Danio rerio: one gene and its partners. The protein of the gene in region 2 binds, or shares a complex with, the protein of the main gene of each other region. Links are inferred from orthologs where the notes say so. Each region holds a gene or a part of one and is shown on either strand. Other genes may lie near its edges.

What was found.
Region 1: the proteins of gnb1b (region 2) and kctd5a are in contact, whole or in part, in a cryo-EM structure (PDB 8U7Z), measured with the Homo sapiens proteins. The link is inferred for Danio rerio from reciprocal best matches to the Homo sapiens genes GNB1 and KCTD5. Residues at the interface, in NP_001269468.1 of Homo sapiens: Arg52, Gly53, Leu55, Lys57, Tyr59, Gln75, Asp76, Gly77, Lys78, Thr87, Asn88, Lys89, Val90, Ala92, Pro94, Leu95, Arg96, Ser97, Ser98, Trp99, Met101, Leu117, Gly131, Asn132, Val133, Arg134, Val135, Thr143, Tyr145, Gly162; in NP_061865.1 of Homo sapiens: Val157, Arg159, Val160, Leu161, Gln162, Cys163, Gln164, Glu166, Glu167, Gln170, Met171, Thr174, Met175, Ser176, Asp177, Trp179, Ser190, Tyr191, Val205, Lys207, Leu209, Glu219, Ser221, Lys223, Ala224, Leu227, Gln228, Arg230, Gly231, Ser232.
Region 3: the proteins of gnb1b (region 2) and trpm3 are in contact, whole or in part, in a crystal structure (PDB 6RMV), measured with the Mus musculus proteins. The link is inferred for Danio rerio from reciprocal best matches to the Homo sapiens genes GNB1 and TRPM3. Residues at the interface, in NP_001153488.1 of Mus musculus: Lys57, Tyr59, Trp99, Val100, Met101, Leu117, Tyr145, Gly162, Asp186, Met188, Cys204, Asp228, Asn230, Asp246, Arg314, Trp332; in NP_001349418.1 of Mus musculus: Lys615, Arg616, Lys618, Ala619, Lys621, Leu622, Leu623, Gly624, Met625.

What each region holds. Positions count from the first base shown.
Region 1 is NC_133178.1:44,428,504-44,432,576, forward strand, and holds the start of kctd5a (BTB/POZ domain-containing protein KCTD5a), read right to left. Parts: upstream 2,847-4,073; 5' UTR 2,815-2,846; coding exon 2,593-2,814; intron 1-2,592. UniProt on the Homo sapiens protein: Its interaction with CUL3 suggests that it may act as a substrate adapter in some E3 ligase complex. Does not affect the function of Kv channel Kv2.1/KCNB1, Kv1.2/KCNA2, Kv4.2/KCND2 and Kv3.4/KCNC4.
Region 2 is NC_133181.1:56,064,985-56,069,324, forward strand, and holds the start of gnb1b (guanine nucleotide binding protein (G protein), beta polypeptide 1b), read right to left. Parts: upstream 2,865-4,340; 5' UTR 2,586-2,864; intron 1-2,585. UniProt on the Homo sapiens protein: Guanine nucleotide-binding proteins (G proteins) are involved as a modulator or transducer in various transmembrane signaling systems.
Region 3 is NC_133180.1:26,453,523-26,457,537, reverse strand, and holds the start of trpm3 (transient receptor potential cation channel subfamily M member 3), read right to left. Parts: upstream 2,847-4,015; 5' UTR 2,493-2,846; coding exon 2,316-2,492; intron 1-2,315. UniProt on the Homo sapiens protein: Constitutively active, non-selective divalent cation-conducting channel that is permeable to Ca(2+), Mn(2+), and Mg(2+), with a high permeability for Ca(2+).

The sequences.
Region 1 (4,073 bases), on a different chromosome or scaffold from region 2:
GGATACAGAAGCGTGTCTGTTAAGAAAAGGTGTGGCTGACATTTAACATACATGCAGCAGAGCCCATAGGGACGCTGATCCATCTCCAGCACAACATCATTACCACAGATCGATACCGAGGTCAGAAAAGTCAGCTTTATTCCACAGCGTTCACGCTCGCATTAAAGCGTTCAGGAGAGCGACCTTTACAGTTAAGTCACGCAAATTCAACCTTGTGATAGGGAAATTAATTTGGAAGAAATATTTTTGGACAGAAGAAATTCTTTGTCTATTTAGCGGCTTTCAAATGTCGTTGCCCTAATAAATGATGCATAGTGACCTTTAAAAGTTTAAAGGCATGCAGGCAACCCCATTTCTTCTTGTGACACATGGAAGAAACTGAAGGATTTATTAAAAACACTGATGCTGGAGGATAATAAATAATAATAATAATAATAATAATAATAATAATAATAATAATAATAAGAAGAAGAAGAAGAAGAAGAAGAAGAAGAAAATATATATAAATATAAATATAAATATATATTTATATATATATATATATATATATATATATATATATATATATATATATATATATATATATATATATATATATATATATATATATATATAACCAGTTTATTTGTGTGCTAATTGTTTTGCAGATCAATTATTATTTTTTAAAAAGATTAAGCCAATTATTGCAATTGGAAAAAATAAAAAAAGCATTCATAAGAATGACATTTACATCACAAAGAATGAAAAATAAATGTTATGAGATGAATGTAAAATATTCAGTGCTGTCAAATTATTAATCGCATACAAGATAACAGTTCGTATTTACATAATATATGCATGTGTAGTGTGTATATTTGTGTATGTATAAATACACACATGCTGTACAAAGTACAAATTAAATATATTTAAAAAAATTATACATAGTTGAAGTCAGAATTATTAGCCCCCTTTTGAATTTTTTTTTCTTTTTTAAATATTTCCTAACAGATGTTTAACAGAGCAAGGGAATTTTCACAGTACGTCTGATAATTTTTTTTTTTTCTGGAGAAAGTCTTATTTGTTTTATTTCGGCTAGAATAAAAGCAGTTTTGAATTTTTTTTAAATCCATTTTAGGGACAAAATTATTACCCCCTTTAAGCATTTTTTTTTTCAATAGTCTACAGACCAAACCATTGTTATACAATAACTTGCCTAATTACCCTAACCTGCCTAGTTAACCTAATTAACCCAGTTCAGCCTTTAAATGTCACTTTAAGCTGTATAGAAGTGTCTTGAAAAATATCTAGTCAATAATTATTTACTGTCATCATGGCAAAGATTAAATAAATCAGTTATTAGAGATGAGTTATTAAAACTATTATGTTTAAAAATGTGTTGAAAAAAATTATCTCCGTTAAACAGAAAAAAAATAAACATGGGGGCTAATAATTCAGATGCATACACAAATATTTTACACAACAGTTATGACATAGTTATAACACAGGCAGTATGCACATATATTTTATAAATCTGAACTTTTTTTTTAATGTGATTAATCATTTGACAGAACTTCAAATATTACTTTTTTGTTGGTTTGTTTACTTTATGTATTATTAAATTAAAAAGATCAAAACTTTTTTTCCTAAACATATGCTTTATGCCCACTGTTAAATTATTATGTATAAATTAGTTATTCACATTATTGCCAATTCACATCCAAAGACATGTTCATGGATGGCAAAAACCAACTACATATTACAATACAAAAATTATAAAGATAAAAAAAAGAAACCCAGCAGTCAGAAGAAATGAGCAATTATAAAAATGCAAGGACTTTCTGTAAATTTAACAATATGTGTTGCATTACATACAATTAACAATTAATACAAATTCCAGTATTTACAATCTTAATGGCAACATTATGCTGCATTGTTAGCTCATTGTTGGTACACATTATACATTTAAAAATAAAATGTTAAATAAATATGCTCATTGCTAGGTCGTATTAATTAATGGTAAAGACTTGATGTAAACTGTGACCACTATTTCAATAGTTTAGTCCGACTTGGTAACTCAAGATCCCAGTTTTTTTTAAACAGTGGGGTAAATGAAAACATGTATAAAGTATCTTTGTAATATTTTATGTTTACTCGAGCAAGCATTGGTAATGTTATCGTTTTAAAGAGTTAAGGTTTTGTTAAATCAACACTAGTGGAACTTAATCAGTTAGAACGTGACATGTACGTTACCGTTACTCCTATAAGAAACGGTATTGGAGTACGGTTATGCATTTTAACGCGAAATGCTCAAACAAGAACAAATATACATATTTGACCATATTTTTAGGTCTACAGCTAATGTTGACTTCACCCAGTAACGTTAACGTTACACCAAGTGTTATCGGTTAAGCTAAGCTAGTAAGGGGGGCTCCGTTTAATGTAACTTTATCAGCTAGCCGTTAAGCTAAAATATTCAAAAACATAAAGATAGCGAAGGGGAACACCGCAGAGCCGTCATTTCGGGTTTCCCCGGTTTAACCGAACTGCTCAGAGCCAATATAAGCGAAAAATAATGCTCATTGTCGTGCTAGTGAATCAAGCTAGTTTGAATACCTTGTCAGAGTCGAGGTCGGGGTCGGCCTGGCACAGGCGGTACAGGAAAGATTTCGGGTCTCTACACAGCGTTTGCCTCGTCGTTAGAAAGTAGGTGCCGCCGACGTTCAGACGAACCCATTTGGAAGAGCCGCTTCCGGATGGCTGCAGCCTCTCTCCGGGAGAAGGAGCGGGACACCGCCGACCGTTGGAGCCGCTCGGGTCAGGGCTCTTCTCCGCCATCCCTCCTCTGCACTCCCGCTGCCGGACTCACGGATTCACTGACTGACTGATGGAACTACAGCAAGAGCAGGAAGTGTGCTGAGTTTGAGAGCAGCTCTGCCCTCCTCCCTTTACAGACAACTGCAAGGGCGGCGTCTCAAAAACGCACTGAGCTGCCTAGGTAGACTGCACTTTTTAGAACGCATGAATGGGCATGCGCTGCGATGACTTGGACATCTAGGTAGACAGCTGGATTAGTTTTGAAGCACATTCGCCGTTTTAGAAAGACAGTTTAATACTTTTTTATGTAGCCCAAAGGAATTTTCTTTCTTTCCCGTGTTTTTCGTTCCTATTTCTGAGAAATTGTGTAATTGTGAAAATAAAAGCAGTAGACTGACAATGATTGTTGTTTTGGTCTTTAAAATAGACACATGATGTGGGGCCTCTTATGAAACAATAAATCGTATGTAAAAGTGCTGATCCTGTAAGAAAAACACCATCAAAAATTGTAATATTTTAACAATTTAAATTAACAGTAAATATAAAATTAAATATAATAAATGTTTGTTTGTTTGATTGATTGATTTATAAAGCACATTTAAAAACAACAGATGTTGACCAAAGTGCTTTACAAAACAACCAACAAACAAAATCTATATTTCTATATTTATAATTATAATCAGGGCGTCACGGAGGCGCAGTGGGTATAGCACGATTGCCTATCAGCAAGAAGACTGCTGGTTCGAGTCCCGGCTGGTTCAGTTAGCATTCATGTGTCAAGTTTGCATGTTCTCCCTGTGTTGGCGTGGGTTTCCCCCACAGTCTGAAGAAATGTGGTATAGGTGAATTGAAAAAGCTAAATTGGCTGTATAAGTGTGTGAATGCACGAGTGTATGGGTGTTTTCCAGGGTTAGGTGGTGGCTGAAAGGGCATCCGCTGTGTATAACATATATGCTAGATAAGTTGGCATTCCACTGTATCCACTGTGGCGACCCCAGATTAATAAAGGGGACTAAGCCGAAAAGAAAATGAATGAATTAATTAGTCAAAAGCAAGAAACAGAAGGTGATTTTTAAAATGAGACTTAAAAGCGCCCAAGGAAGAGCATGAACTGATATGTAAAGGTAGACCATTCCACAGACGAGGGGCAGTGACAGAAAAAGCCCTGCCACCTCTTTTTTTGAACATTTACATTTTGAAGCAGCTGCAGGCCGGCGTACAATTCAAGTAGGCAAAACTCCTAAATACAAGAGTTGCAATAGTCCAGTCTGGAACTAATA
Region 2 (4,340 bases):
TGTAAACATATTTTAGATTTTAAATAAAGAAAGTAAACATGCATTATGGATGATGAAAAAAAAAGTCTGCAAGTTTGCAGTATACAACATACTTTATAGAAATTCTATGAATTAAACAAAGCAACCCAAAAGAAACAATGCTAATTAAAAGGATAAGAGTTGTTCCTCTACAGAGCAAACATGACTTATTTTACCTTAGATTTTTGCATTTATGAGATGAAAGTTATGGATGTGGCAGATGTGAAATTGCCACTTGTGTGACTTTGCTAAATCAAATATAATAGTTTGAAAACATTGACAGAGAGATTTTTGAGTAGTGTAAGCACTGCAAAGTATTTGCCAACACCAAAAATGTAGAAACAGTTTCGTTATTTTGGTTGAAGCTTAGTTTTTTCATGACAAGGCTGACATTTACATGGAAATGCTCAAATCTCAACATGCTTGCATTAAAACACCTGCGAAAACAAATGGGCGTTAGTTTGAAAATCAAAATAGATATTCAGAATTACATTATCTGAATAGATTTCAATTATTCCATCATAATTATACACATATCAGCTTCTGAGGTGCCCACTGCGAATCAATCTGATGCTTTTAGTTATCCACAATTACAAAACTGCATGTGTATCAATGCAGATTGCACAATGTATAATGCAAATGGATTACAAGTAATGCTTCAGCAAATGTAACACTGCCGAGTAAAACATGAACAATGACTATAATAAACATGATAAGCAAAGAACCAACTTAGGTGCATAAAAAGCAGGATGTCTGGGAGGGAGTTAAAAACAACAATGTATGCAATGAATCATCCATTATGCTTTTGTTTTAAAATAAAATCAAACAAAAGTGCATTATCTAAACACAAAAGGGTATTGTGAGAGCTTATGTGCATGACTGCAAAGAAATGTCTACATTTATAGCACCAGAAGCACAAGTTGAAATCAACAAAATGTGAACGATCACGTCACGGTGGACTCGAAACACTATTTGATATTTCACAATTGCATTTCGCGTCATAAAGGATGAGGTTATGCAGCTTTAGGTGCCACACAAAGAGCATTTTATTTAAAAAAAAACGATAAACTCTAGCTTCAAAATATGTTCCTGGAATCGTTTTTAAAACAACGAGCTTCGTTTAAGAGCAAAACGGTGCTTTTTTCGGCGTTTCAGCGGGTTAAATGAACGGCATGCTGATATGAGTGCGGAGAGGGAAGCCGGAGAGAGAGGCTACGGACGCCATCTTGTTCTTGGGCCCCACATTGAAGAATTCATTGATTCCGTTTATTTATTCATGAACGGTGTTCCTTTATCTAAATGCCAGCGAAGAGAAAGGCAAACTCGATCGGTAGGGGAAAAAAGAAGGAGGGGGCGCAACATATTTATCCCATAGCCTATATTTCCCCGACCAATCCCTTAATAGTGACCTCAATACTGAGCCGCTAGCCCGTTCTTAAAATATTCCAGCAGCGATGATAAAGGCCATCCGGCTCCATTCATTTCGCGTATCTGAAGAACTGCAAAGCTCTTTGCTGCATTACTCTGATACACGATCGCAGGAGAAAACACATCTAGCAGGTCTTTTATTCTTTATCGTCAGCAAAAGCAATTCAGCGAGAATCGTAGCGGAGCATCACCGAGATGTCGCGAAGAGAGGCAGTGCACCTATATACCTGAACAGCAAAGGCCCTTTAAACACAGGCTTAATGAAATCCAATTAGGTTGTTTAAAAGAGTAGTTAAAAGAAGCAGCGCACACTTAACGCAATAAACATTAACACGAGCTAAGTCGCTTAAATGCACACGGGATTTCGGATTACGCCATTCTGACTCGTAATAAATCCATCTCCATGTAAATGTGTGTAGGGGAAAACACACTAGGACGGCTTGTAATATACAGCCAGATGGTGTAGATTGCAATAGACGATCGGGTGAACAAATAAATGGCTAATCTTTATTTACCGACTGCATTTCGATCAATATTCACTTGTAGTACACGAGAGTGTGTAAACCAGCATTTGCCTAACCAAAAATCCTCGATTCTGTAACACAGAGGAAGGCCTAGCTGAGCTGAAAAGCCGAATATTTTGCCAGCAGAAGCTCCGGTAATTAGCCTGTTAGCTTACAGACCAGCCTCCAACCAAAACCCCCCAAACTTAACATTTAAAGCAATCTTAATTGCTATTAAAATGCCCCTATCAAGCACATTACTGAATTCCCCCAAACCTAAATTGGTTTAATTCTGAAGTAACGCCGATTTTTGGGTGCTAACAAGCGAACTCGCACTAAACGGCCTCCGGTTAAGTCGGCCGACTCAGTTCACGCCATAATGACCGAGCGAGAGATTAAATGCACTATAAATTCACATTAATAAAACACACACGATGATAACTGTTTAAAACAACCGTTTTTCGCATATTTGCCTGCCACTGTTGTGTATGTAAATCGCTCGGCTAGCCGCTACCTGCGCCTCACCCCACCCCCCTTCATTCTCTATGGTGACCAGCATTTTATCCAACAAATTCACCCGATTAGAACGAAACATTCAGTTCCACACACTTGAAATAAGCACATAGTGTTCCATACCTGTTCTCAGTCGTAAATGGCCTTTGTTTATATGGCATTGACCGAAAAAAACGATGGTGTGGCTGTCAAATCCACGCATCAACGAACAAGACGAGCTAGCTCGCTAACTAGCAGCGGGAGAAGTACCGAGTCCACTTCCACAGCGACAAAACTCGCTCCGGCGGGCGGGAAATGAGCCTGTACGAGGGGGGATCTCAACTGCGAGGAAAAGCTGCACTCATAAATGTCCGATTGGAGACTTTGGTCAGCTAATAAGTCCGTCGGTGGCCACTTCCCGTTGCCTTCCTTGAAGGAACACTTCTCTCCAGTTCAGTTCACCTCTCATCCGGCCATCAGACGGAGATGGGCGCGGTAACCCTGCAGTCTGCCCTGGGAAACCCCACGCCGCAGCGCACGGGCGAGCGGCGCTCTTACGCAGGAATGGAATTGACAGAAACATTTCCAAGCCAATTTAGCAAGATTTGAATACACTGATGTACTTTTTAAAATGCTTAACGTTTTTAAAAATATTATACAACCCATATTCCATTAATAGATTAACCTGAGCAAAGACTTTATGGAGAAGACCGAGGCTTTGTCACAATTTACTACAGAACAGGTTTTTCTCTATAGGTTTAGCTGTACTTTGTTTGAAGTGAGATTTTGATATAGGCACAAGTGCAAATTTAGAGATTTATAATAATAATTATATTAACAAAATCATTTGAGAAAAGTATTGTTTGCTAATTCTGAATAGTTAAATCATATTCGCAGCCAATGACTATCAAAGTAGTCCAACAGTGTTGATGTTAATAGTGCTAATGTTGTTTTGAGAAATCGTGTAGGGGACTTATATAATTACAGTGAATTTATTAACACTTTTGGTTTAAAAAAATACTTTGAATAAATACAAAAAAAAATGTGTTCATTGTATCTCCCTAAAATAAATGTACCTTATTAAAACCACAAAAATATATAACCATGTATCTGGCTCTCTTCCAGAGCTTACTATTAAGGGCCTCTCTATCATGGATAAAAAACTGAATAACAATTATATCAGGAAAATCCTGACTGCAGATAAAAGTGTTCCTCTAATAGCAATGGTTAAATGGAAACAAGCATTCCCTTCATTCTTTTCCCCCAAAACTCTGGTCAGATTTTACAAAATACATACTTCCCAATAAAGTAAAATAAACTATTTGTAAAATATTACATAGATATTATCCATGCAATGGTTTTATTAGTAGGTTTAAGGAAGGTTTTTCACCTTTGTGTTGTTTTTGTAAAATGGAACTGGAAACAATTCTTCATTAATTTTTCAGTTGCAGTTACACAAAACGGCTTTGGTCCCAAGTTTTCTCACTACTTTTTGAAGTGTATTGTAAATTTATCAATATAACTGATAAAATGGTTTTATTTATGGACTGCAACTCTGGGAAATGGACAAAATAACAAAAAAAATCTTATTTTATTTGGAAAGTATCACATCCGCAAAACAAAATGTATGCTGACTGTATTAAAGTGTAAACTATTCTTCATTGATCTAAATAATTTTATGATTCCCTCACTTCTATACAGAGTAATACTAAAGTTTAAGACATCCCAATTGCTGGAAAAATACTTAATGTACATAATTAATTTTTGTTGTTAATTTTCTTGAATACTGTTTAATGTATAATTATGTACTCCCCTGTTTAATCAATAAATTTTTTTTTGTTTTGAAGTCGTATTTGCACGCGATTTCAGAATATTCAAAGTAACATGCTAAACAAGAGC
Region 3 (4,015 bases), on a different chromosome or scaffold from region 2:
CCATGTGTTTCTTATTTGTCTGTTATTTATTTACCCTGGATCTCCATTAGGCGCCTTACAAAAAGGCTCTTATTAAATTTGTTGAAATGGCTTACACTTCAACGTCAAAGTCTCCGAAACAATGAATTTTGTCAGTTTATTTAAAAAAAAAAGTGTTTTAAAGTTGATGAAGGTGTGAATCACAAACAATCCATATGATACACAAAGCAGAGTCGTTTCTATAGCAACATGACCACAAATATCTCACCTCCTCCCACTTAAAGACAATACTGTTATTATTAATGTAGTATTTCACAAGAGAGTTCAGACATGAAGCACATAGTAAATACTTACTGTATGGGTATATAATACATATATTGCTCAAATGCAAATACAATGTAGACGAACATAACCTTGCCATATGGGACATGGATATACGCTAATATATGATCATCTTTAAACTAATTGTTTTTACATACAAACATCAAGATGAATGTTTTGTACATCAGATGAAGGTTTTGTTGAAGTTGCAAGAATGATGTAATTCTGCAATAATAGAGCAACTTCAATAATAGAGCCGATAGAAAAATTTCGGACAATATTTTTTCTCTTATCACATTATTGTGTATCAATTCTTACATTGGTATACTGAACAATAAATGGTGATGTGACGTGTGAAATTCACTTAAAGGGATAGGTTCTGTCATAATTTACTCATTCTTTACTTATTTCAAACCTTTAAGGGTTTCTTTCTTCTGTTGAACACAAAAGAAGATATTCTGAAGAATGCTGAAAGCCATGGTAGGAAAACAAATACTATGGAAGTCAATTGTTACAGGTTTCCAGCTTTCTTCAAAATTTCTTCTTTTGTATTTAACAAAAGAAAGAAATACCAAAAGGCTTGAAATAAGTATAATGAGTAAATTATGACAGAACCTATCACTTTATGTGAATTTCACATCATATCATCATTTATTGTACAGTATAACAATTTATGAATTGATACACATTAATATGATGGAAGAAAAAAATACTGTCAGTTATTTTTGTATCGGCTCAATCTCTATTATTGCATCATTCTTGATATTTCAACAAAACCTTTATCCCGACAAATTGATAACAGTACCTTTATAGCAAATATGCCTATTTTTTTTCATCAAAAAAATTAAATAAATAAACCAAATAACAAAAAAAATCTATTAATTTTAAAATCAAAATGTATGTACAAGACCAGTAAATGTTTTTATATGTGTTAATTCAGCAAATTTATAATCCTGTATGATACAGTAAGTCACTTTGCTCTGTAACTCAAAATTAAACACATTTTTAGATATATCGTCACCTTTGAGTTATAAGGTTCTATTTGACATTTTTGTCAAAATTGAGTAATTGACATATTCTTATTAAATGACAACTTATTTACATTATGGGATGATTTTTATAAGTTTTTTACATTTTAAGATTTTTTATTTTAAAAAAACAAACGTCACACATACTGTCTGCGATATGGAATGCTAAAACTTTGAAGCTCAATATCTCAAAATCATTCAGAATGCAGATAGAACCTTTTAATTCCAAGGTAACCATATATATGGGGTATATTTTTTGTGTATATTATATCTCAAAATGTAAATGTCCTCAAAGGATTAACTCACATTTCATAAAATACAAAATCTATCCCTCTAGCTAAGTAATTCAAACTTTGCAACTGGATTTGGCAAAAAAGTAGTCAAAGAATCAGTCCTCTGGGTGACAGATGGTTTAGAGCGTGCTTCAGGGCAAGCTCTTGTGCTTAGCAACAACTGACCCACTGAGCTTTCCCTCATTCTGTGCTAATCAACTGTTATTGACTCCAAATCAGCATAAACTACAGATGAAGTTTTCTTGCTGGAATTGCTATATGCCTGAAAACCAAAAAATGATTTCCCCAATGTAGCACATGGAGTTTTCTATGGCCTGAAGTAACAAATCATTTCACATCAGACAACATTAATAAAGCTTCCAAACTGGCACACGTTTTTTTGGAGAACACCTCATTGTGATACACATCTAGGCAACAATAGCTTCACCCATTTTTTATTTTTTTTTGCTGATGCTTTTCTGTGTATCTGCAAGCATCATCCTAAAAACTTTCCACTCACATACTCTGAGGCGGAAGAGGACCTTTAGATTCCCACCTGCTTAAGCCAGACTCTTTCCTGCACCCCTCTCTCTATCTCTGTGTGATCCCATGCCTTCATTCTCTGCTCTTCCTCTTTTTCACCAGCAGTCCCTCCCTGTGCTCCCACCCTCCGTACTCTAAATTCAAGAAAGTAGAGTGTTCTTCCACTTCTTACCGCAGCTTGCTGGGAGGCCAGTCCTGACCTCTTGGTAGACCCCTGTCTGGAGCTCAGTCTCTTCCAAGATTCGGAGAAGCGCCCTCTGGTGGAGGGGCGTCCAGGCCCCTGTGCCTCCTCCCTCGTGGAGCTTACCTTGAAGCCTTCTCTCCTCCCCTCCCATTTTCTTTTTGTCATAACTTATAAGATTTTCTTGATGACACTGGTATGAAAAACCACGGAAACGAGCAGCCCTAAACTATGATGATTCTTCTTCTAAAACTCTCCGCAAGTTGTCAGGTCATCTCTTTCCTGAGCTTTTCTTGAATAGAGACACAAAAGAAGTGGTGGGAGTTTGGCTTCTACACTGTTGCATGTGGTCCCGCTGCTTCAGTTAATCTACAATCCGTTGAAAGATGCAGAAGGAGAAAGACTCAAGAAAAAAAATCATACGTAGCCAGTACAGCCCCGCCTGCAAGGTTCCTCTCCGGTCTCAGCCTCCTGATGTCTTCAAACTGAGCGGGCAAAGGCAAAGCAAGTCACTCTGGAACTGAGCTCTCATCCTCACGCTCTCTCCCCACCCTCATTCACACTCCCTCCTTTGCTCCCTCCCTCTTTGCCTGTTACATCTCTCTCTCTCATCTGCTTCACTACCAGAGTTCACAGCTCACGTGTCGCCCACTCTCGACGTACGCTGTTGTGGAGATTAAAGAGTTATTCAGAACAAAAGCTGAAGGTTTCTACAGGTCTCTTACTCCCCTGTGGACACACACTGGTTTTAATCGACAGAAGAATGCGCTCTCTGGTGCAGTACAAAATGCTAAGAACTTTTAATACATCTAACATGAAATGTGAATCACCAAGATCTGCACATCTTGAGACCTTTTTTTGTTACCACTGACATGTGACCCCTAGTTAATTAATACCTTACTAACTACCTTGTGATATTTGATACTAAAGAGTCAGAGACTTGATGTTCTTCACTTGAAAACATCTCTGCACTGTCATGTGTACAACCAGGGGAAAACAGACCTACTTTACATATATAGAAATTGAGGAACATCCTCCTACTGATCTGATAAAAGCCTAATTTCCACTGCGTGGACAAGAGTATGGTGTGATTTAAAAAGGAAAGCCTGAATATAACCGGTGTATGCTGGAAAAATACACAATCAGATGCAGTCAATAGTCATGGTAAATGGTAGAAAATTGCAATCGGTGGAGGATGCACGATTGATGATTCTCTGACAGGTAATCAATGTTTTGAAGTGAGTCTCTCCACCCTTTAGCTATTGGTCTATACCCAGTATAAACAAGCAAATCAAGGCAATCCAATTTATCAATGTATCTGCACAAAATTGTAGCAATATTGTACTATTATAGCACAGTGATACACACTAATAATCGAAGACAAACTGATTCATGATAAAAACAACCTGACAATCAATGGATCCTATTTACATCTAGAATATTGTATATTGTGTTTTGTAAGTCCCACCCACTCATAGTTGCCAAGGTTACCACAAGAAAACACTAGTCCAGCAAAGCTGCTGGTTCATTATCATTCCAGTTTACATCAACGCCTAACCTATAAAAAAAATGTGAAACATATACCAAAGCAGCAATTATAGCACATACTGTCAGAGCTTTATTATTAATTGGTCAAGCTAAAAAATAAAAATACTTAGTTTTAAGACAATTAGAATTCTAGCAATAAAATT